Macaca fascicularis: one gene and its partner. The protein of the gene in region 2 purifies or fractionates together with the protein of the main gene of each other region. This does not show direct contact. Links are inferred from orthologs where the notes say so. Each region holds a gene or a part of one and is shown on either strand. Other genes may lie near its edges.

Region 1 (10,659 bases), on a different chromosome or scaffold from region 2:
GTTTAAATCAAGTTGAATTTATTAAACCAAAAAAAAGAAAAGAGAATAGTAATGTTAATATTCTTGACATAATTCCATATAAACATGTTTTGGTAAATATCTTTTTCCTGTGTTTAGATTTATTTTATATAGGTATAAGCAGACTGAGTATGTAATTTTTAAAGTGTAAGTATTTTTGCTGTGACATAGTCTTTATTTGCCTCATTTATATGACTTCGTGACCTTTCCCTATTTTATAGTCATACAGGTTGCTTCCAACTTTTTGTGATTTTAAATAATGCTTTAAGTGAACTTGTTTGTCCACATAGCTGTTTTTTTCTATTAGCTTTATTTCCTATTTAGCTCTATTTCCATATAGAATTACTGAATCAAAGCAACAAGCATGGTTAGGACTCTTGATGCCAGATTCTTCCCTAAGAGGATTCTGCCCATTTATTCAGCCACCAACAGTGTGAGAGCTTCTATTTCACCTAACCTTCCTCAGTACTGGGGGGGGAGTTATAATTTTTTAAAAATTGTCTTTATTTTACAGTAATTTTAGAGTTGCAGAAAAGTTGCAGAGATAGTACAAAGTGTTCCGTTGGATCCCTCACCTAGTTGCCACCATTGTTACCATCTTACATTACCATGCTACACTTGTCAAATCTAGGAAACCAACACAGATGCGTTAGTATTAACTAAGCTCTAGACTGGATTCAGATATTACCAGTTTTTCCATTAATGTCTTCTTTTTCTGTTGTTCCAGGACCCAATCCAGGATTGTTATAATTTAAATTTTTAAAAATTTAATGTTTATAGAATGGTATTACATTGTTGTCAGTCTTAGACATAGGGTTATAATGGAGCCGAAAAAATTCCTATTGCCTGTAACTTAACATCGTAGTGTAATGCATTTCTGACATGTTTGTGGTGATGCTGGTGTCAACAAGCCTACTGTGCTGCCAGTTGTATAAAAGTATAGCAGAAACAATTACGTATAGTATATAATACTTGATGATGATAATAATAAATGACTTTGTTACTGGCTTATTATTGGCCCAATTGACAAAATTGGATTATGGGTTGTGGAATAGAAAACAAGATTATATCAATGTTAAATTTTCTGATTCTGATCATGAACTTTGCTCAAGAACGAGCGTGTCCCTGTGCTTTTGGAAATGCTCACTGAAGTGCTTAGTGGTAAATAGGCAGGGTGTCCCAACTTACCCTCAAATGATTCAGAAAAAAATCGTATGCTTATATTTAAGTATACACACATGCAGAGACAAACACATATATGTAGAAGGAGAGAAAATGATAAATGGGATAAAATGTAAACATTTGGTAAATCTGGCTAAACACTGTTAGGGGAATGTTTTGTATTATTTTTGCAATGTTTCTGTAGGTGTAAGATTATATCAAAATAAAGTCACGCGTGTTGATGCACACCTGCAGGCCCAGCTACTTGGGAGACCGAGGCAGGAGGATCACTTGAGCCCAGGAGTTCGAGTCCACCCTGGGCAACATAGACCGCATCTCTATAAATAAAAAATATTGTTTAAATTATGTCAAAATAAAAAGTTACTGCTCCCTATGAATAATACTGGCAACAACTAGAAATAGCGCAGGAAGACAACCTTCCTATTGAGTTGAAGCAGATCCTCAAGTACGTGTTGCCTTTTTTGGGCCCTTGGATGAATGATGCATCGTCCACAGACTTTTATTTTTACACATAATTAAGGGCCACTTTTTTATAACTCCTAATTTGTTACAGGCCACTAACATGCCATGTACTTATTTATTAGTATATTACTAGAGTTTATTGAGGATCCAGATTTCCGTATCCCAAGAAGTCTGGCAATGCTTGGCAAAATTGCAAAACAGTTCATAACTACTTGCTATCACAGAAAGTGACAAATGCTCCTCTTTTTGGGAGATAAACCTCTGCTAACAGTGTTGTCTCTTGAATTAGGTCCTTATTTTCACTTTCTGTAGTTCTGAAGCATTTACTATAAGTACATCATGGTTCCCTGCTACTTTCCTGACTCTGCAGATTACCAATCTGATTGCTGTTTCTCTCCACTTCTTGGCTCTGGATTCGTTGTTCAGTTTTGCCTCTCTTAGGGGGTCGGAGACATTTGAGAATTACTAATTGAGTGCAGTAACTCAGGGGCACGTCCTTTGGCCCTCCTCAGGTGTCTTTCTCATATCTGCAATGTGCCTTCTTTTGTGCTTTGGCTTAGCCTTTAGCAGATCAAAAGAGGAAGGTGCTTAGGCCTGCCATGTCCTCCCTGTCCTGGGTTAGTCATTGCTCTGGTGTTGGTGCATTAACACTTCATAAACTGGTCTTGAAAATGAAAAATTAAAGCCTTCTCAGACTTCTAAGTCTGATCACTGATTTGCCTCATGTCTCCACCAAATGACTGCTATTGCACAGCCACTCGGAGGCCTCAGCCCTTTTAGCCCTGCTAAAGTCTCCACAGTAGCCCATCCCTCAGAGCCATCTATTTACACAACTAGTTTTTTTTGTAACAGGAAAAATGAAAGTAGTTGTTAGATTACGGTAGTGGTAATAGATAATTTTTCCTGTTTTAAAATTTGTTTTTATTATATCAGTATAACATATATCACCTTTTTTATTACAAAAGGAATAGAAGACACCAGTATATTACAAATACTATTCATATTGATGAATCAGAATGTTGATTAATATCATTTTGCTATTTAAACCATATGGTATAATGGAAAATTCTTTAAAATGACATAATGGCCTCTTTGGATGGTAAAATGACAATATTCTATAAGGCAGGCTTGACCCAGCAATTTCAGTTCTAGAAAAGTGTCCTACTGATATACTTGCCTGTGTGCAGAGAGACATACACTCAGGGATAATCACTGCAGCATGATTTGGAGTGGAAGATGGTGGGAAACAAACCAATGTCCTTCAATAGCAGACTGTTTACATAAATTATGGTACATCTATAGAATAGGATAATATGCTGCTGTTAAAATTGAATATAATAAAAACTATAATTATGTAATGCAAAGTATGTCACCCTTTACGCACATACCTACTAGTGTATCAAGGTCCTTTCTGCAAGAAACTTAGAGTTGCTTTCTCTGGGGAGAACAGCTAGAGTACTAAAGGATCGTGGAGGTAGAACTTCCTTTTTCCTCTATACTTTTCTATCCTGCTGGATCTTCCTGTCCCTCCTCCCTCTATGGGGAGAGATGGGAGAGATGTACTTTTCCTAATTTTTTTTGAGACATGGCCTCACTCTGTAGCCCAGGCTGGAGTGCAGTGGTGCGATCATAGCTTACTGCAGCTTTGACTTCCTGGGCCCAAGCAATTCTCCTGCCTCAGTCTCCAAGTAGCTGGGACCACAGGTGTGTGCCACCATGCCTAGCTAATTTTATACATATATATATATATATATATATATATATATATATATATGGAGCTCAGCTCACTGCAACCTCTGCCTCCTGGGTTCAAGCGAAATCTCCTGCCTCAGCTCCCTGAGTATCTGGGATTACAGGTGCCCAAATATTTTTTAATTAAAAAAAATTTTTTTAATTTTTTATTTTGTAGAGATGTAGTCTCACTATGTTGCCAAGGCTGGTCTCAAGTTCCTGGGCTCAAGCAATCCTCCCACCTCAGCCTCAGGGCCAGGAACTCTTCCTAATCTCAGATTAGCTGCATAACTTAATTTCTCTTCTAAGGATTTTTTATTCATTTGTTCATTTTCTTTTTTTGTGACAGCTTTATAGTTTTTATTAAGAGTTGTACAGCCATAATCACAATCAATGTGAGTATATTTTCATTCCTGAAAAAGAAACCCCATACCTGTTAGCAATCACTCTTTACCTCCCCCGATTCCTTCTACTCCCCATCACCCACCCTAGCCATTCAGTCCCCAGCCTGGGGCAAACAGTTAACTACTTCCTGTCTCTAAAAATTTGCCTATTCTGAACATTTTCTATAAATGAAATCTTACAGTATATGGTCTTTTGTGACTGGCTTCTCATTTAGCATGATATTTTCGAAGTTCATCCATGATGTAACAGGTATCAGTAATTTATTTCTTTTCGTGGCTGAAAATTATTCTCTTGTGTGAATGTATTACATTTTATCTAGTCATCTAATGTTGGCCATTGGAGTTATCTCCACTTTTGGCTATCATAAATAATGTTGTGCACATCCTTGTACAATATTTTGTGTAGTCATATGTTTACATTCTCCATACCTCTGCCTAGATATGGAATTGCTGGTCAGATGATAACTCTGTTTAACTTTTTCAGGAGCTGCCAAACTCTTCTAAAGTGACTGCACCGTTTTATATTCCCATCAGCAGTGTATGATTCTAGTTTTTCCACATCCTGGACAACACTTGTTATTGCCTATTGTAGTGAATTTTTTTTTTCCCCCCCGAGACGGAGTCTCGCTCTGTCGCCAAGGCTGGAGCCGCAGTGGCCAGATCTCAGCTCACCGCAAGCTCCGCCTCCGGGGTTTACGCCATTCTCCTGCCTCAGCCTCCCGAGTAGCTGGGACTACAGGCGCCCGCCATCTTGCCCGGCTAGTTTTTTGTATTTTTTTAGTAGAGACGGGGTTTCACCGTGTTAGCCAGGATGGTCTCGATCTCCTGACCTTGTGATCCGCCCGTCTCGGCCTCCCAAAGTGCTGGGATTACAGGCTTGAGCCACTGCGCCCCGGCCGTAGTGAATTCTTATAATTTTATGTTGCCTCAGCAAACATTTTAAATCTAAGTTGAACCTTCTCATACCAGAAGCAGGACTGAGTCACCCCGACACAGTTGGCAGTTCCACCTTTTTCCCCAGTTCCTCAGTGTGGTTGGTCCAGATACCTGCCTTACACAGCTGCTCTCTGGTGACCACTTCCCTATGGGATAGCTGGATACAGCCTGCTTGACAGGCCCTTCTTACCTTCACATTCCCCATGGACCATATGCCACAGTGACCACCTCTCAGTCACTGGGTAACCTCCCAAAACTCATGCCTGCTTGCTTTAAACTCACCAGTTAAAACTCCCCATGCTGCCTTTGGGAAACCTGTTTGGATAACACCTGGGACCCATTAAAGACATTGGCTCATGTGTCCTTCCCCTCAAACCACTGCTTCCACCATGTGAGGACACGGGTCCCTTTTCTTCCTCTCTCTGCCTGCACTCCCTGACGTTTGTGTGCTGGCCTCCAGGTATGCCGTGTACTCTCCAGAACCTGTAAGTGATAATGTCTTTATTTCTATCTCATATTTCTCCTAATTATTGGAGGGATACTCTCCATCTTAAATATCCTAAATTAAAACGTCTATCTTTCTTAGTATAGCCATTGATATGGGCTGAATATTTGTGTCCCCCCCCCGCCCCCGGCACAATTCATGTATTGAAATTCTAGGCCGGGTGCGGTGGCTCAAGCCTGTAATCCCAGCACTTTGGGAGGCCGAGACGGGTGGATCACGAGGTCAGGAGATCGAGACCATCCTGGCTAACACGGTGAAACCCCGTCTCTACTAAAAAAAATACAAAAAACTAGCCGGGCAAGGTGGCGAGTGCCTGTAGTCCCAGCTACTCGGGAGGCTGAGGCAGGAGAATGGCGTGAACCCGGGAGGTGGAGTTTGCAGTGAGCTGAGATCCGGCCACTGCACTCCAGCCTGGGGGACAGAGCGAGACCCCGTCTCAAAAAAAAAAAAAAAGAAAAAAAAGAAATTCTAATCCCCAAGGTGTTGGTTTTTGAGGATGAGGACTTTGGGAAGTGATTGAATCAAGGGGGCAGAGCCTTCATGGGCACAATAGTTTCTTTATAAAAGAGGCCGGGGAAATTTGCTTGCCCCTTCCACCCTGCGAGCACACAGCAGAAAGATGCTGTCTGAGAGAAAGCAGTTCCTTACCAGACCCGGAGTCTACTGGCGCCTGCCTCGATCTTGGACTTCCCAGCCTCCAGAACTATCAGAAACAAATTTCTGTTATTTATACACTGTCTAGTTTATGATATTTTGTTACAGCAGCATGAACAGACCAAGACAGCCATCATAGTGGGTAAAGTGATATCTTACTGTGCTTTTGAATTATGTTTCCCTAATGAGTAACGATAGTATCATTTTATGTGTTTATTGGCCATTCATATATCTTCTTTGGAGAAATGTCTATCTAAATCCTTTTCCCACTTTTAAGGGCTATTTGTCTTTTTATTACATAGTTATATGACTTCTTTATGTATTTTGGATACTAGACCCTTATCAAATACATAATTTATAATATTTTCTCCCATTGTGTGGGTTTTCACTTTCCTAATGATGTCTTTTCAAAGCATGTATTTCTTTTTTCAAAAACATATATTCTGTACTTTCTTTTTTTTTTTTTGAGATGGAGTCTCCAGGCTGGAGTGCAGTGGCATGATCTCAGCTCACTGCAATCTCTGCTGCCCGGGTTCAAGTGATTCTCCTGCCTCGGCTTCCCAAACAGCTGGCATCACAGGCACCTGCCACCATGCCCGGCTAATTTTTGTATTTTTAGCAGAGACAGAGTTTTACCATGTTAGCCAGGCTGGTCTCGAACTCCTAACCTCAGGTGATCTGCCCACCTTAGCCTCCCAAAGTGCTGGGATTGCAGGCATGAGCCACCACACCTGGCCTACTTTCTTTACTATGTTGGTTTTGTGAACTATCATTGTTATTAAAATTAAATTGTATGGACTTTACTGCTTTTTGCTCATTCATTATGTAGGAAGCCATGAGTTTAATAAAACGTGGTAGGTGCTGATTTCAGTAATCATGCTTTGTTTGACCTCCTTTCATTTCCGGGGGAAAAAAAAAAAACCACCTAATTGTTTATACACAATATGTTTAGCTCACATCTCTTTTGGTGTTGCAGGTTGCAGTGCAGGAGGGAATTAACTCAGGAACAGCCATGTCAAGAGGATTGTATCAACCAGCAACAATCTTTATGGGCCGCCAAATGTCAGCCGTCTCAAGCATGGGAGATTTCAGTACAGAGCACAAATCTCCCCAACCAACAAAGAACTTTTCAATTCCTGACCCACATTCACACCGACAGACAGCCCAGAGAAGTAATGTGACAGACAGCTGTGTAGTACAAACTAGTAATGACACACAGTGCTTAAATAAGTCTGACAACATAGATGGAAAGGCATCTCTTCAGATTGGTGAGAAAACGCCAGTCACAGCCAGTGTATTGTCTGAGGAGGAACAAACTCATTGCTTGGAGATAGGAAGTAACACACGTCATGGCAAGAGTAATTTATCTGAAGGCAAAAAGTCTGCTGAACTCAATTCCCCGTTACAGGAAAGATTAAGTCCAGAGAAGAGAACCACTGGTTTAAAGTGTGACAGTTCCAGCAGATCAGAGGGATCAGAGGGAGAAATACTGACACGGGAACATATTGAAGTTGAGGAAAAAAGAGCCAGCCCGCCAGTCTCTCCGATATCAGTTTCGGAATACTGTGAATCTGAAAATAAGTGGTCTCAAGAGAAGCATTCTCCTTGGCAAGGTGTTTCAGGTGGGATGAGAGGCTGAGTTTGGTTGCTGAGTTTTCTGGGTGGTAGTGATCTTATGTAAGGACAAAATATACTCTCTAATTATCTCTCTTTGTCATAAAATAGTATCTTTGCCAACAAAATCCATTCTAATGAACTCTTAAAAATGTACATGCAAGTGAATTTGCTGATTTTTAAACCCGCTGTGATTTTTTTTTAAACATTTGAAAATATGTTTAAGCTTTTAAGTTCCGTAATGAATTGTGTGTGGGCTGCTTCTCCGTGTTTTTAACTGATGAGTGATTCTGCTGTGTGTTACCTTGCTTCCCCCTGAAGTCAGTGATTGGTAATCGATTCATGTCCCCACTTGCAGATCATCTTGCTCACGGGGACCCAAAGTCACAAAAGCCCTTCAGAAAAAAGCAGGAAGAGGAGGAGGAGGAAAGTTGGAGCACCAGCAGTGACCTCACTGTTTCAATAAGTGAAGATGACCTGTTTTTAAAGAGCCCAGAACCACAGCCAAATCCAGGTGGCAAGGTGGAGGGAGAAGATGGAATAGAGGCCTTAAAATTAATCCATGCTGAGCAAGAAAGAGATGCCCTATCCACTGAAAAAAATAATTGTATTTTGCAAACCCTAAGCTCTCCTGATTCAGAAAAGGAATCCTCCACTCACGCACTAACTAGAGAGTAAGCCATTCAATTTTTTTTTTCTACTGTTCTGTTTTTAATTGTAGACATTTCTAGAGACCATTCCACTGGGAATGTATTATTGAGCACTCAGCCATGAATGTGTAAATTCCTTAAGTCTCATAAGTAATCTTTTAGGCAAGACCTAATTTTCTTTCTGTCCTTCTTTCTTCTTTGCTTCCTCCCTTCCTTCTTTCTTTAACAGAAAAGCTTTAAACGTTTGGATATAATTGAGTTATGGTGATTGCAGCTTGTAATTATATACACACAATCCCTGGTTAACATAATAAGTCATTCCCCAACACCCTACTCTCAAGCCTTTCAGAAAATAAATCTGTTTTGAAGTTTTGGTAGCACAGAAGGTGACAGTTAAACTTACTAGGAATGCAGTATTAGAGTCTGAGAACTTTATGTCTAATTAATTTGCTTAATCCTTATATTCCTTGCCGTAGTATCATTTTTGTCATCTGATTAAATATGAGTTAATAAGCTCTTCCAATTGTATATATAAGCCAGATTTCCTTTTTTGAATGTAAATAGGAAACATTGGAATCTCTAATATTAAATGGGAACATCAGCGTTATACATTTTGAGAACTTACATTATCCAACTGATAAAAATTTATATATGCTTTTGTGCTACTGATCGGAGATGCTAGAAGAAAACGTTGTAGAAAGTTCTTGTGTATCTACTATGTAGAAAACTTGTTAACTGTTGAAAACTGATTCTGTGCTGAAAAATGGCATTAATAACATCAAATCTCTTTTAGGAGTAGAAAGAACCTAAGTAAACAACCTAAGGTAGATCTCACCTTTTACAAATGAGGAAACGAAGGCCGGGGCAGAGTGGAGTCATATAGTTCTGCTGGATCTGCTGGGGCAGAGCACCCCGCACCCTGTCTGCCTGAATGTCACACCACTGCCCCACCTCCAGAATTTTCTGTTACACCGTAATGCTGGTCACCCTTTCATTTCCACAAAGCTGGCAGGAGTGAAAAGCCAAGTGGGCATTTTTGTATAGGAGGGCATATGTTCTCTTTTAGAACACCATTGTACCTTTTAATATATTGCCTCTTACCATTCATTGTCTACTTATGGTGAAAAGTTTATTAATGGGCTTTAATTTATAGATTGTATCCAAACTGATGTTCAGGAAATATTTATTAAGAGCATATCCAAGTAAAAGTTCTTGCATGAGGGATGGAAGAACCGACATGGTTCCTGTCATTGAGAAATTTGATTTATTGGAGAGGCAAGCCAAATGGATTTTTCTAGTAATAATACTTTCATCAAAGAGACACAGGTAATGCATATTACATCATCAGAAACTTTATTACTGGAGATAGAATGTTATCTATCTCTAGTTTTGTGTTTGTGGGCTTATTTTTATGGCATGATGGACCAGTTAGTACTTTGGTAGGCTGACAAGGAGACTAATATACTTACCCAGGACTCAGTCTTTTTCTGAGGTGAAAAAAATTGGGTATGTGTATGGAATTCCTACTTAACATTTCTCTAAGAGTCAAGAATGTTCATTCTGTCTCCATTCGAAAGACTTTTTAAAAATGATCTTGGAGGCATAAAGTCAGGCTCCTTGGAGTTTTGGCATATAGTTTTCCAGTATTTATTGGAAAATATGGGCATGTAGGGAATTTTGAGTATTTTTCTTAATAAAATACCCCTAGAATGAAAATGTCAGTCAGCAGTGGTTGTTTTTGTGTCTATATTATCAAATTTGAGCCTACTGATTTTCTGGGTAAAAATATTCTCCAGGAATAGGTCGAAGGTGGTTTTAAATGAATGCTAGTTAACTCCCTGACATCACCACTGCATTTGAGGCCCCACATTTTGTTAATTTATTGTTTAGTTGGAGCTCTTCTCCTTTGCTCTTAGGGTTAATTATTAGTCTGAGACATAGCATCATATTTATAGAACTAACACTATAACCTCAACAGTTCAGTATTTCAGTTGACTTTAGGGTCTGTTGGGGGCCTGGAGAAAAATCACTTGAATGAATTTAATTAGCAAAGATGCATAAATGGGACAAAGGAGGACACACAGGAGCATATGATCTGGAATGTAGAATCTGCACAACATCTTGAAGTCTTTGAAGGAGGAAGAGGAGGGAAAGAGCAAATAGGGTCTGGAGGAAAATGCAAGAAGGAATGCAGAGCAGAGAACACAGAGGACATGGGAGGGGCAGAGCAAAGGACCGCATGGGTGAGGAGGGCCTTTTGTAGTTAAGGTTCAAAATGTCACCTAGGGTGAGCTTGAGAAAGGCCTGGAATATCAGGTTAATGAATTTGGAATTCACTCTCTATGCTTTGTAGAGCTGTTCAAGGTTATTTTAGGAGGAGGATAGTGTGATGAGGCTTGATTTAGGATTAACCTGACAGCGTTAGTTCATTAGGATTAATCATCAGTGTGGTAGGCAGAAGTGCAGATGGCCCTGAGATTCTCTCTTCCTGTTGTTTGTGCCC
Region 2 (11,304 bases):
CTTCCCCATAAGATCAGGAACAGGACATGGATGCGTATTCCTATCACTTCTGTTCAACACTGTACCAGAGATTCTAGTCACTGCAATAAGGCAAGGAAAACAAATAAAAGGCATCCAAATTGAAAAGAAAGAAATAAAACTGTTTTTATTTTCAGATGACAAGACTATCTACATAAAACTACTGATAGACTCTACAAAACTACTAGAGCTAATGAATGAGTTTGGCAAAGCTGCAGAGCAGAGTATTAAAAAACATTATTTCTCACCACACATCTACAGCCATCTGATATTTGACAAACATGACACAAACAAGCAATGGGGAAAAGATTCCCTATTTAATAAATGGTGTTGGGAAAACTGGCTAGCCATATTCAGAAAACTGAAACTGGACCACTTCCTTACACCTTATACAAAAATCACCTCAAGATGGATTAAACACTTAAATGTAAGACCTAAAACTATAAAAACCCTAGAAGAAAACCTAGGCAATACCATTCAGGACGTAGGCATAGGCAAAGACTTAATGTCTAAAACACCAAAAGCAACGGCAAAAAAAAGCCAAAACTGACAAATGGAATCTAATTAAACTGAAGAGCTTCTACACAGCAAAAAAAACTATCATCAGAATGAACAGGCAACCTACAGAATGGAAGAAAGTTGTTGTAATCTAGCCATCTGACAAAGGTCTAATATCCACAAAGAAACAAATTTACAACAGAAAAGCAAACAATCCCATCAAAAAGTGGGCAAAGTATATAAACAGACACTTCTCAAAAGAAGATATTTATGCAGCCAACAAACATGAAAAAATGCTCATCATCACTGGTTATTAGAGAAATGCAAATCAAAACGACAATGAGATACCATCTCACGCCAGTTAGAATGGCGATCATTAAAAAGTCAGGAAACAACAGATGCTGGAGAGGATGTGGAGAAATAGGAATGCTTTTACACTGTTGATGCAAGTGTAAATTAGTTCAGCCATTGTGGAAGACAGTGTGACGATTCCTCAAGGATCTAGAACCAGAAATACCATTTGACCCAGCAATCCCATTACTGGGTATATACCCAAAGAATTATAAATCATTCTACTATAAAGACACATGCACACGTATGTTTATTGTGGCACTATTCCCAACAGCAAAGACTTGGAACAAACCCAAATGTCCATAAATGATAGACTGGATAAAGAAAATGTGGCACATATACACCATGGAATATTATGAAGCCATAAAAAAGGATGAGTTCATGTCCTTTGCTGGGACATGGATGAAGCTGGAAACATCATTCTCAGCAAACTATCACAAGAACAGAAAACCAAACACTGCATGTTCTCACTCATAAGTGGGAGCTGAACAAGGTGAACACGTGGACACAGGGAGGGGAACATCACACACTGGGGCCTGTTGGGGGGTGGGGGACTAAGGGAGGGATAACATTAGCAGAAATACCTAATGTAGGTGACGGGTTAATGGGTGCAGCATACCACGATGGCACATGTATACCTATGTAACAAAACTGCACGTTCTGCACATGTACCCCAGAACTTAAAGTATAATAATAAAAAAGAAATGTTATTTCTACATACTACCAACGAAAAATCAGAAACTGAAAGTAAAAGAATAATACCACTTACAGTAGTATCAAAAATTTCAATACACAGGCATAAATCTAACAAAAGATGTGCAAAACCTAAACATTAAAAACTACAAAGTATAGCTGAGAAAATTTAAAGAAATACATCAATGAGGTAAAAAAGAACCAATTTTACTTTAAAACGTACTATAAAGCTGATATAATTAAGACAGCGGGATATTGGTGTCCAGATAAGACAAATAAATCAGTGGAAAAGAATAGAGTTCATAAATAGATACATACATATATAAACAACTGCAAAGGAGCAAAAGTAATTCAATGGAGAAAGGGTAGTTTTTCCAATTGGGCATCCAATGCAAAAAAGTGGCCTGGATCCTTACCTCATGCCTTGTATAAACTTTAACTCTATGAACCATAGATGTAAAGGTAAAACCTAAAACTATAAAACTCCTAGAAGAAAACATAAAAGAAATCTTTGCAACCTTGGGTTAGGCAATGATTTCTTACATGACACCAAAAGCACAATTCATAAAAGAAAAAATTGATGAATTATTTCATCAAAATTAAAAATGTTTGGGTCCAACACTGTTAAGAGAACGAAAAGAAAAAAATGAGTCCATTACCACTCTGCCAGTGAGTCTCACACCCCACTAATGAATGAATTCTTAGTTCCTTAGATTGATAATACAAGTACCTCTTTGAACAGGTTCCTAAAAACTAACTGATCTTTCCCAGACAGAGGTGGAAGAACAGTACACAGCAAATATGCTACAAGCTTACTCTACTAGTAGCCTGGTTGAGTGTGGAGCTGCCTGTTGTTATGATATGTAAAGCTGAAATAGTAATTATCAGAGGAAATATCATGTGGGGTTGCCAGTTGAGAAGTACCAAAACAAATGGTCTTGACCTAGGCTCCCAAATTCAAAAGGAACAAAGAGACAATCGAGATCAACAGAAATCAGTGTAGAAAAAGTCAGAGGCAGGTGGAAAGAAGACCATCTACCTTTATCTGGGCTGGTATTTGGGTGGGTCACTTAATGGAATAATCCACCACCTTCAAATGGCATGCAAAATCCAGTTAAAGAAAAAAGCAGAGCAACGCAGACACTCAACTCTCATTCTTATCTCTTCATGCATACGCTACCATTCTAGGCTCTGATTCCCTGAATAAAACCAGTTATTTTAAGCCTTTGAACCATTCCTTCTTCTGCTCCTTCTGCTTGAGATTTCCTTCTTGCACTCCACTTGTCTTCTGTGGAACTATTAAATACCACTCATTTTTCAAAAAATGTTACTATGCTTCAGTTGTCTTATTTGTTTCCCCCTGGTATTTGGATCTCAGTTTTATCTAAGAATTCTGGCTGGATCATTCTTATGAAATTAATAGTTTCTCACTGCTTCAAGTACTCTCCTGACTCTAGCCAAACTCCTCATCAACCAACTCCTGTCCCACACCACTCTTATGGTGGCCAGTTAGCTGTTCTTATGGGATGGGGATATTCTCACTACAAACCTAAGAAATAATGCTAATGTTATTGTGTCATTACAGTGTCATTAATTATTTTAGATAACATATACCATGCACTTAAAATGTGCCAGACACTATGCTCACTGCTTTTTCATCATCTCATTTAAGTCTCAGAACTTCAAGAGGATTCTTGTGTTCTTATACTCATTACACAAATGAGAAAACTGAGGTGCAGAAAAGCTAGGAAACTTGCTCGAGGTCACAGACCTGGAAAGAGGTAGGCTCTGAGCCCAGACAGACTAAATCTAGAGGCTAACTGAGTTCTTAACCACTGGTCTATAATGCTGCCAAAATGGGACTTACTACCTTTTTCCTAACTTCCCTGTTGCTCAAGCAAAAACGAAGCGTCCTCTATCTCTTTCCTTCAAATCCCCTGATCCCCAATCTCCCTGTGCCCAACTTAGTTTACTTCTTATCTGAATGATGACAGTAGTCAACTAACTGCACTCTGCTATAATGCACATTCCCCATAAAAATCAGACTGGGCCTTCTAAATTACAATTTGATCATGCCACTCTCAACTGAATTCCTATAACCCATGCAGTGGTCCAAACTCCTTAGCACAGAGAAGACAGGGCCCTTCACCATCCAGCCCTTTCTACTCCTTCGACTGCACTTGCCATTTCCCTATATAAATATTCCAATTCCATTTACATCAATATTACATTCAAACCAGCCTTATTGCAAATCTTTAACAAAGCATATTCCTAATGCCCTCAGTGTCGCCAATATTGTTCTATTTGGGATGCCTAGAGTTTTTATATACTAAATTCATATTGGTATTGCACGTTTCAGCCTAATAGCACCTTCCTTGAACATATTTTAATAATAATCGTGTAACAGTTAATATTTAACTATTACATAACAATAAATTAACAATGTATCAGATACTATTCTAAATCCTTTACACATTTTAATATTCATTTAATCATTCCAACAATCCCTGAGACTGTGGCAAAAGAGCCAGCAGTTGCTGCCACTTCAATATACTTTGGAATACATTTCCCTCCCCAAATTAAATTCTTAAGGTAAAAAACTGTCCTGTTTATCTTTGCAGCAGCTGTTCTTCTATAGTGTCTGGTACATAATAGAAACAGGAGTTCAATAAACATCTTTTTAATAAATGGCCAGAGAGCTGGGCCCCTAGGTTTTAAATGCACACTTGGAAACTCTTGCTGGCCATTAGCCTTCTAATCTTCAGAGCACGAGAGGAGCATAACAAACATGTTTAGCGTCTAGCAGAATTCTGTGTAAGCCACAAGTACCACCATACGGTTCTGCTTAAATATACACACATCCTCACGTATACCATCAAGCTCTTTTTTTTTTCCCTGCAACTAACTTCTTTAAATTTTTACAAATTTAAATGTACCCAACCAGCATTCAAAAAAGATTTGTCGGTCAACGACGACGATATTAAACATTGTATGTGAATATGAAGTCTCAAAAAAACATGGAGCTTACTTTGCTCTCTCAGAAAGTCGATTTCTGTAGCCATTTCGATACAATTTTAGTTTGGAGTTTTCACCACCTTTACCTTCCTCTGAAAGACACAGAGTTTGCTGTGCGGGAAAACAAAACTAAGCCAACGCTCGGTTGGTTGTCAAGCGCTCCAGCGGTGCAATCTGCATCCTACTCACGCGGCATCTACAGCCCCGCCACGCTTCCTTCCCCCGCGCCCCAGACGAGTCCCAGGCCCTGGAGAGAGACTGAAGATTGCTGGGGGCGCGCCAGGTGAATTCTGTTCCACGTTCAACCGAATCCCACCCTGGTGGGAAGAGGACTTGCTCGATACAGGCGTCCCGCGGGTCACTCTGGGTCTCGTCGGGCCACCTAGGAGAGTGCCGCGGGAGCTGGAGGGCAGCCTGAGAGCGGCGTTCTACGCGGAGCGGCGTGGGTTGGAGAAGACGACGCCAACACGGCTGGGAAGCCCCAGGCCAGCAGCGGAAGTCCACTCGGCCCGCCCTGCGACTTTGAAACCGGTGCCCCGAACCACTCCTTGGAGACGGTGACGCCGCTTGCGTCATCACGCGGGCGTTGGCGCTTACGCCATCGCGCGTCCTAGAGTCCTAGCACGCTATTGGCTGGCTGTCAAGCAATAGGAGGAGTCGTGAGAACCTAGGTGACAGCTGAGCCACCGGCTTGGCGCGGCGGGCAAACTGGTGGGACAGTGTCTCCAGGTGGTGGGGCCCAACCTCTTTTTTTTTTTTTTTTTTTTAAAACCCAAAATGCAAACGTGAGTAGGGCATGAAATACACAGTTTAAATGCCCTCACTATCTTTGGGTTACTAATATACTAAGCCTTTCTGGACTAAGTAAAGGATGCAGGTTCATGCGGCTAGGGGTAGAAGCCAGACTTGGGTCTTCAGAATCTCCCACCAAGGCTGTACCTCTGGAGGAGTTCTGTGTTTCGATTTGGTCATCTCAAGAAGGTAAGTACCATCCTGCCAAAGGAGACAACTGTTGTTTAAATATTTAACTGTGTAGTAATAAAGCATGTAGTTAGAAGTATTCAAAAGATCTTGCAAATTCAGCAGCTATTTCTTCAAAGATAAGCTTTTTTCCTCAAATATAAGGAAAGATAAAAGGAACTTTTTTTTTTTTTTTTTTTTTTGCAAAAAACAAAACGGTAAAACTTACATTTGTGGATAGATTACAATTTTCATTTTTGAAAATTGATTTTGTCTGGATTTAAAACGTATGTTTTTTTTTTAATTATTTAACATTGGAGGAAATCTCACCACTAGCAACAAATATGTTAATTTGAAGCTAGCCACTAGTTTTGCGCTTTTAATAAATTGTATTTTTATGGATTGAAGTAAAGTTTCACTAAACAGGCATGTCATAGATGCAGCTTGATTTGGCTTTCTGTTTAACAGCTTAAGAGTTTTGTTGTCCTGTACTCATAATGTCATATAAAGTAACCTTAGCGATATGTGTTAAGAAATTTTTAAAAATGTATTCGAATATGTGCAGTTAGGCATCTGAAGGCCTGACTCAATACTCGCTGTTAATAGAATGAGATGGTCCCTTCCTCTAAAGACTAGCTGTTAAATATGGATGTGTAGCTTAATAATCATTGAAAAGGTCTAATCTAGCTTTGGGTCGTGGATAATTGAACTTGTTCTGATTTTTAGTAGCTATAATGTTTACACGAAAACTTTTTACATAAAGGGAAAATTGAGTGTGCAAGCTCCAACTCGTTTATGGAGTTCAGTATATGACTCTTCATAAACATCTCACTGACTCTCCGAGGACTTGCTTGTAACTTCTCCCACATTTGAACCTTGTATATTGTCATACTGTATTTCTACTTGGCATCAAATAAATAATTATAGACTTAACTCTATGCTTACACCCAAACTGGATGGAAGCAAATACCTTCTGGCTATAATGATGAGTGGTAGTTACATAAAGTGAGTATCTCAGGTGAAAATTTTTGTGTCTGCACTCGATTTTTTTTTAGCTTACATAATCATAATTATGATCGTGATAGTTTTTTGTTTTTGTGTTTGTGGTTACAAGATTTTAGTAGATGAATTTTAATGGAGTATTTTCAACGTAAGTTTCATCATTAGGAAACAAAATTGTTTTCACTTATCCTTAAAGGATCCCTCTCGTGTTTCTCCTTTTCACACGTCCTGAGTTCTCTATCCACTTCTCCCAAGGTAGGTGCCACCTTAGTACTTATTTCATGCTCCTTCCTGCATTATCTATCATGTTTTGTAGTTTGTCTCCAGGCTCCATCATAATACCTGGAACACAGAATTGATTAAATATCTGATGGAAGGAATGAAAGAATTCAGTAGATGTTCCTGGAAAGTATCTATTAGTATAAATTGAATACAAGGAATGACAAGTGGAAATGTACATACTCATAGATAATTGTATAGATTGAAAATTAGTGACTTTCACTAACATTAATTCGGTTGATCAATTGACATTGAGCACCCAGTACTATGTGCAAAGTACCATGAAGAATACAAAGTTAGAAGTTTAAGCAAGGGTCAGAATAGATCACACAGCTGGCAAGTGCCTGAGTTGCGATTTGAACTCAGGCAGGATGGTTCTAATTTCACAACTGTTAACCGCCATGAACATGCCTCCCCAGGAGTATAGTATAATCTAATTTATAGCTGGTATAATTTATAGTTTTTGCTTATATAGCCAGTTAGCCTGTAGTTGTATTAAATGAATTATTTCTGTACATGTTCTGTTGTAATCTTAATGCTTTACAGTTGATTTTCAAATTATTGCACGGTATTTTTATTTCTGAAGCACCCTTCCTTCTTCTAGGAAACCACTCAAACTTTAGTGGAACGATTAGAAGTCTTCAGATGTTCACCTGTGGCCCTTCAACATTTTTCTTTCCTGGAAAAATCAAGTGTCGCTGCTTCAGTGTTCCAAGCCCCTCCCTCAGAACGTGTAGGAAGCTGGGTGGAGCCTAAAGCCGAGCCCTCTGCGTTGACCTCGGCTAAGAGGAGGAAGCCAGTGTTTTGAGAAAAGCTTCGTGGTCTGTGTTCTTTTGTTATTCCCTCTTCTCTCTGACCTTCCTTTCGCGGTCGCGAGGTCTTGTCTTTCGCTTGATCTCTGGAAAACAATGAAAAGTATTTTACTTTTCAGTTGTCTCCTGCTAATTGAGCGTACTCCCACTGTCAGGCTGACTTCCTCGTTTCTTCGTTTCTTCGTTTCTCTTATAAATGGGCGGGGCCTCGGGGCGGTATGGAAACTGAAAAGAAATCATTATTGTAGAAAAACTAAAAGAAATTTTGTTGAGCAGAGGAATTTGGAAATTTTCCTTGCGGATCATTTGGTTGAGAAAACACTTTTACCATAATTTATTTCTTTTAAACTTTGTGGACCTTTTTTTTCTTTTCTCGGGTTCTTAATGCTCCAGTGTTCGGTCTCCTTTCTCTTCCTTCGTTTCCTTTTAGAGGTCTTTCCAGGTAAAGAGAAAGCAATCAGAATAATTGAAAATTTATTTTTTTGACTTGTTTTAAGAGCAATTTGAAGAATAGGGGTTAAAAGTAGAAACAGATTAACAATAAACATTATATTAAGAAAGTCTAAACAGGCAGGGCGCGGTGGCTCAAGCCTGTAATCCCAGCACTTTGGAGGCCGAGACGGGCGGATCACAAGGTCAGGAGATCGAGACCATCCTGGCTAACCCGGTGAAACCCGTCTCTACTAAAAAATACAAAAAACTAGCCGGGCGAGGTGGTGGGCGCCTGTAGTCCCAGCTACTCGGGAGGCTGAGGCAGGAGAATGGCGTAAACCCGGGAGGCGGAGCTTGCAGCGAGCTGAGATCCGGCCACTGCACTCTAGCCTGGGCAACAGAGCGAGACTCCGTCTCAAAAAAAAAAAAAAGTCTAAACAGCCAAACTTGAATTGCAGGACAGTAATCATCTTGATAATATGCATTATGACTTTTCGGAAACGTTCAGCATATATAATATAAAGGGGAGAAGAGGCAGCCGCCATACTCTTAGGAGACCAGCCTTATTTTATTTATTTATTTATTTATTTATTTATTTATTTATTTATTTATTTATTTTTGAGACGGAGTCTTGCTCTGTCACCAGACTGGAGTGCAGTGGCGCTATCTCAGCTCACTGCAACCTCTGCCTCCGGGTTCAAGCGATTCTCCTGCCTCAACCTCCCAAGTAGCTGGAACTACAGGCTCGTGCCACCACACCCAGCTAATTTTTGTACTTTTAGTAGAGACGGGGTTTCACTGTGTTGGCCGGGATGGTCTTGATCTGCTGACCTTGTGATCCGCCCGCCTTGGCCTCCCAAGGTGCTGGGATTACAGGCGTGAGCCACTGCGCTCGGCCAAAAAATAATTTTAAACCATTCAGTTGCCTTAAAATAGTAATGCGTGTCTGTCATAGTATAAAATGCAAATAGGTTTTTAAAAAGTGATGAAGTTGAAAGCAAAGCTTCCTCCTTCCCATATCTGCAGGCAGATAATTCCCTTCAGGGAAGCAACCACTGTAACCACCTCGTTTGTTGGTGTTTCCTGAGATAGTGTATGCATCACAAGCATATATGCAAATAAACTTCCTTTTTATTAAATAAATGCACCTTGCTTTTTTTCACTTCACAACGTATTTTAGCATAGATGTTAATTTAGAGCTGCCTCATTCATTTTAGCAGTTATACAGTGTTTCATTGTATGATATAGCATAATTTTTTTTTTTACCAGTCCTCTACTGATGGGTATTTAAGTTGCTTCCAACATTTTGTTATTATAAACAATGCTACCACAAATATCCTCAACACTTATGCATTTTGAATATGTGCAGGTATAGTAACTCCTAGAACTAGAATTATTTTTGTCGAAGGATATTTGCATTTTTATTTTGATACTGACGTATTGCTCTTCACAGAGGCTGTATCAATTATGCCTCACTAGCAACATTATGATTTTTTCTCAATGCCCTCATTAACACAGCATGTTATCAGACTTTCTGATCCTTGCCAATCTAAGTGAAAAATGGTAATTTATTGTGGTTTTAGTTTGCATTTCTGTCATTGTAAGTGAACATTTTGCATTTTCTCTCTGTGAGCTAACTGGCTGTTCATAATTTTTGGTCACTTTTCTGTTAGAGTGTTGGTCTTTTCCTTATGATTTCTAGGAGCTCTTTATGCATCAAAGAAATTAGTTATTTGTATCAAGTATGACTTGCATATACTTTTTCCCAGACTGTCTTTTGATTTTGTTAATGATAGACTTTTGGGGTAAGGGGAACTTAGGAAGGAGGTTTTTGCTTTTATTATATTATTTATTAATTATTAAAAAAAATTTCAACTTCTATTTTAGATCCAGGGGATACATGTGCAAGTTTGTTACATGGTTATATTCCATGATGCTGAGATCTGGGGTATGAATGATCCCATCACCTGGGTAGTGAGCATAGTACCCAATAGTTAGTTTTTCAACCTTTGCCCCTTCCTTCCCATCCCCCTCTAGTAGTCCCCAGTGTCTATTGTTGCCATCTTTATGTCCATGAGTACCTAATGTTTAATTTCCACTTATAAGTGAAAATATGTGGTATTTGGTTTTCTGTACTTGCATTAATTTGCTTAGAATAATAGCCTCCAGCTGCATCCATGTTAGTTTTGTTATATTTATGTAGTAAAATGTTTGGGTTTTGGTTTCTATTTTAAAAGGTTTTCTCTACTAATGCAGGGAAAGCCCAGAATTGGGGCTCAGCCCAGGAGGGTTCTTGGCTTCATTCAGGAAAGGGTTCACGAGCAAAAGCAAGTTTATTAGAGCAACAAACTATGGGAAAATGGCTGCTCCATAGACAGAGTAGGGGCAGCAGCTCCCATGAACTGTTGGCTAGTTATATACTTGACAATTCCTTGATTATATGCTAAATAAGGGGTGGGTTATTCATGTATTTTCCAGAAAAGTAGGAAGGGTTCCCAGAACTGAGGGTTCCTCCCTTTTTTAAACCTTATAAGGTAACTTCTAGGAGTTTACAAACATGGCATTTGTAAACTGTCATGCCACTGTTGGGAATTTCTTTTTGCATACTACTGCATTATAATTAATGTGTAATGAGCAGTGAGGGCAACTAGAGATCACTTTTGTTGCCATCTTGGTTTTAGCTGTTTTCTTTTGCTTCATTTTGTTTTGATTAGATTCTGTTTTAATCAGTGGGGCCTTGGTGCTCAGAAAACAGGTCCAGCTTGTCTCCTACCTTACTACTATTAAGATTTTATTTAACTCTCTTTTTATTTCTTGTTTTTATATGATTTTGATTTTTATGCTTAAATCTTTGATTCATCTAAAACTTACTTTGGTATAAGGATCCCACTGAATTAAATTTAGGACTGCAAAATGAAGCAACTGATATTGGAAATGGGGACTTCATTGATTAGTTACATGAGAACCATCCCAAACTGCCATAGACTTATTATATATTATTGCCCCAGCACCTGGTATGGTACCTGAAATAAGATGAATACTTAATAAATGCTTGATAAACTAAATTGAAGGGAATTTCTGGGTTTATCATCTTTGTTATTAATCGTTGTATTGATCTGATATGTAGTGTTAAATGACACTACGTGATGGTCATGATGACGATACCACGAACACAGTAGGTTTCTCCTGCACAAAATCTAGAGGGTTAGATCCAGGGACTAGAAAAGTTATTCACTCAACAAAT

What was found.
Region 1: the proteins of SCLT1 (region 2) and KIZ purify together in Homo sapiens (co-immunoprecipitation; 3 studies listed by BioGRID and IntAct, counting the BioPlex papers as one, with this or other methods). This does not show direct contact. The link is inferred for Macaca fascicularis from reciprocal best matches to the Homo sapiens genes SCLT1 and KIZ.

The regions. Positions count from the first base shown.
Region 1 is NC_088384.1:66,158,401-66,169,059, reverse strand, and holds part of KIZ (centrosomal protein kizuna), read left to right. Parts: intron 1-6,868; coding exon 6,869-7,514; intron 7,515-7,864; coding exon 7,865-8,180; intron 8,181-10,659. UniProt on the Homo sapiens protein: Centrosomal protein required for establishing a robust mitotic centrosome architecture that can endure the forces that converge on the centrosomes during spindle formation. Required for stabilizing the expanded pericentriolar material around the centriole.
Region 2 is NC_088379.1:134,100,773-134,112,076, forward strand, and holds the start of SCLT1 (sodium channel and clathrin linker 1), read right to left. Parts: upstream 5,138-11,304; 5' UTR 4,623-5,137; coding exon of another isoform or gene 4,589-4,622; intron 1-4,588. UniProt on the Homo sapiens protein: Adapter protein that links SCN10A to clathrin. Regulates SCN10A channel activity, possibly by promoting channel internalization.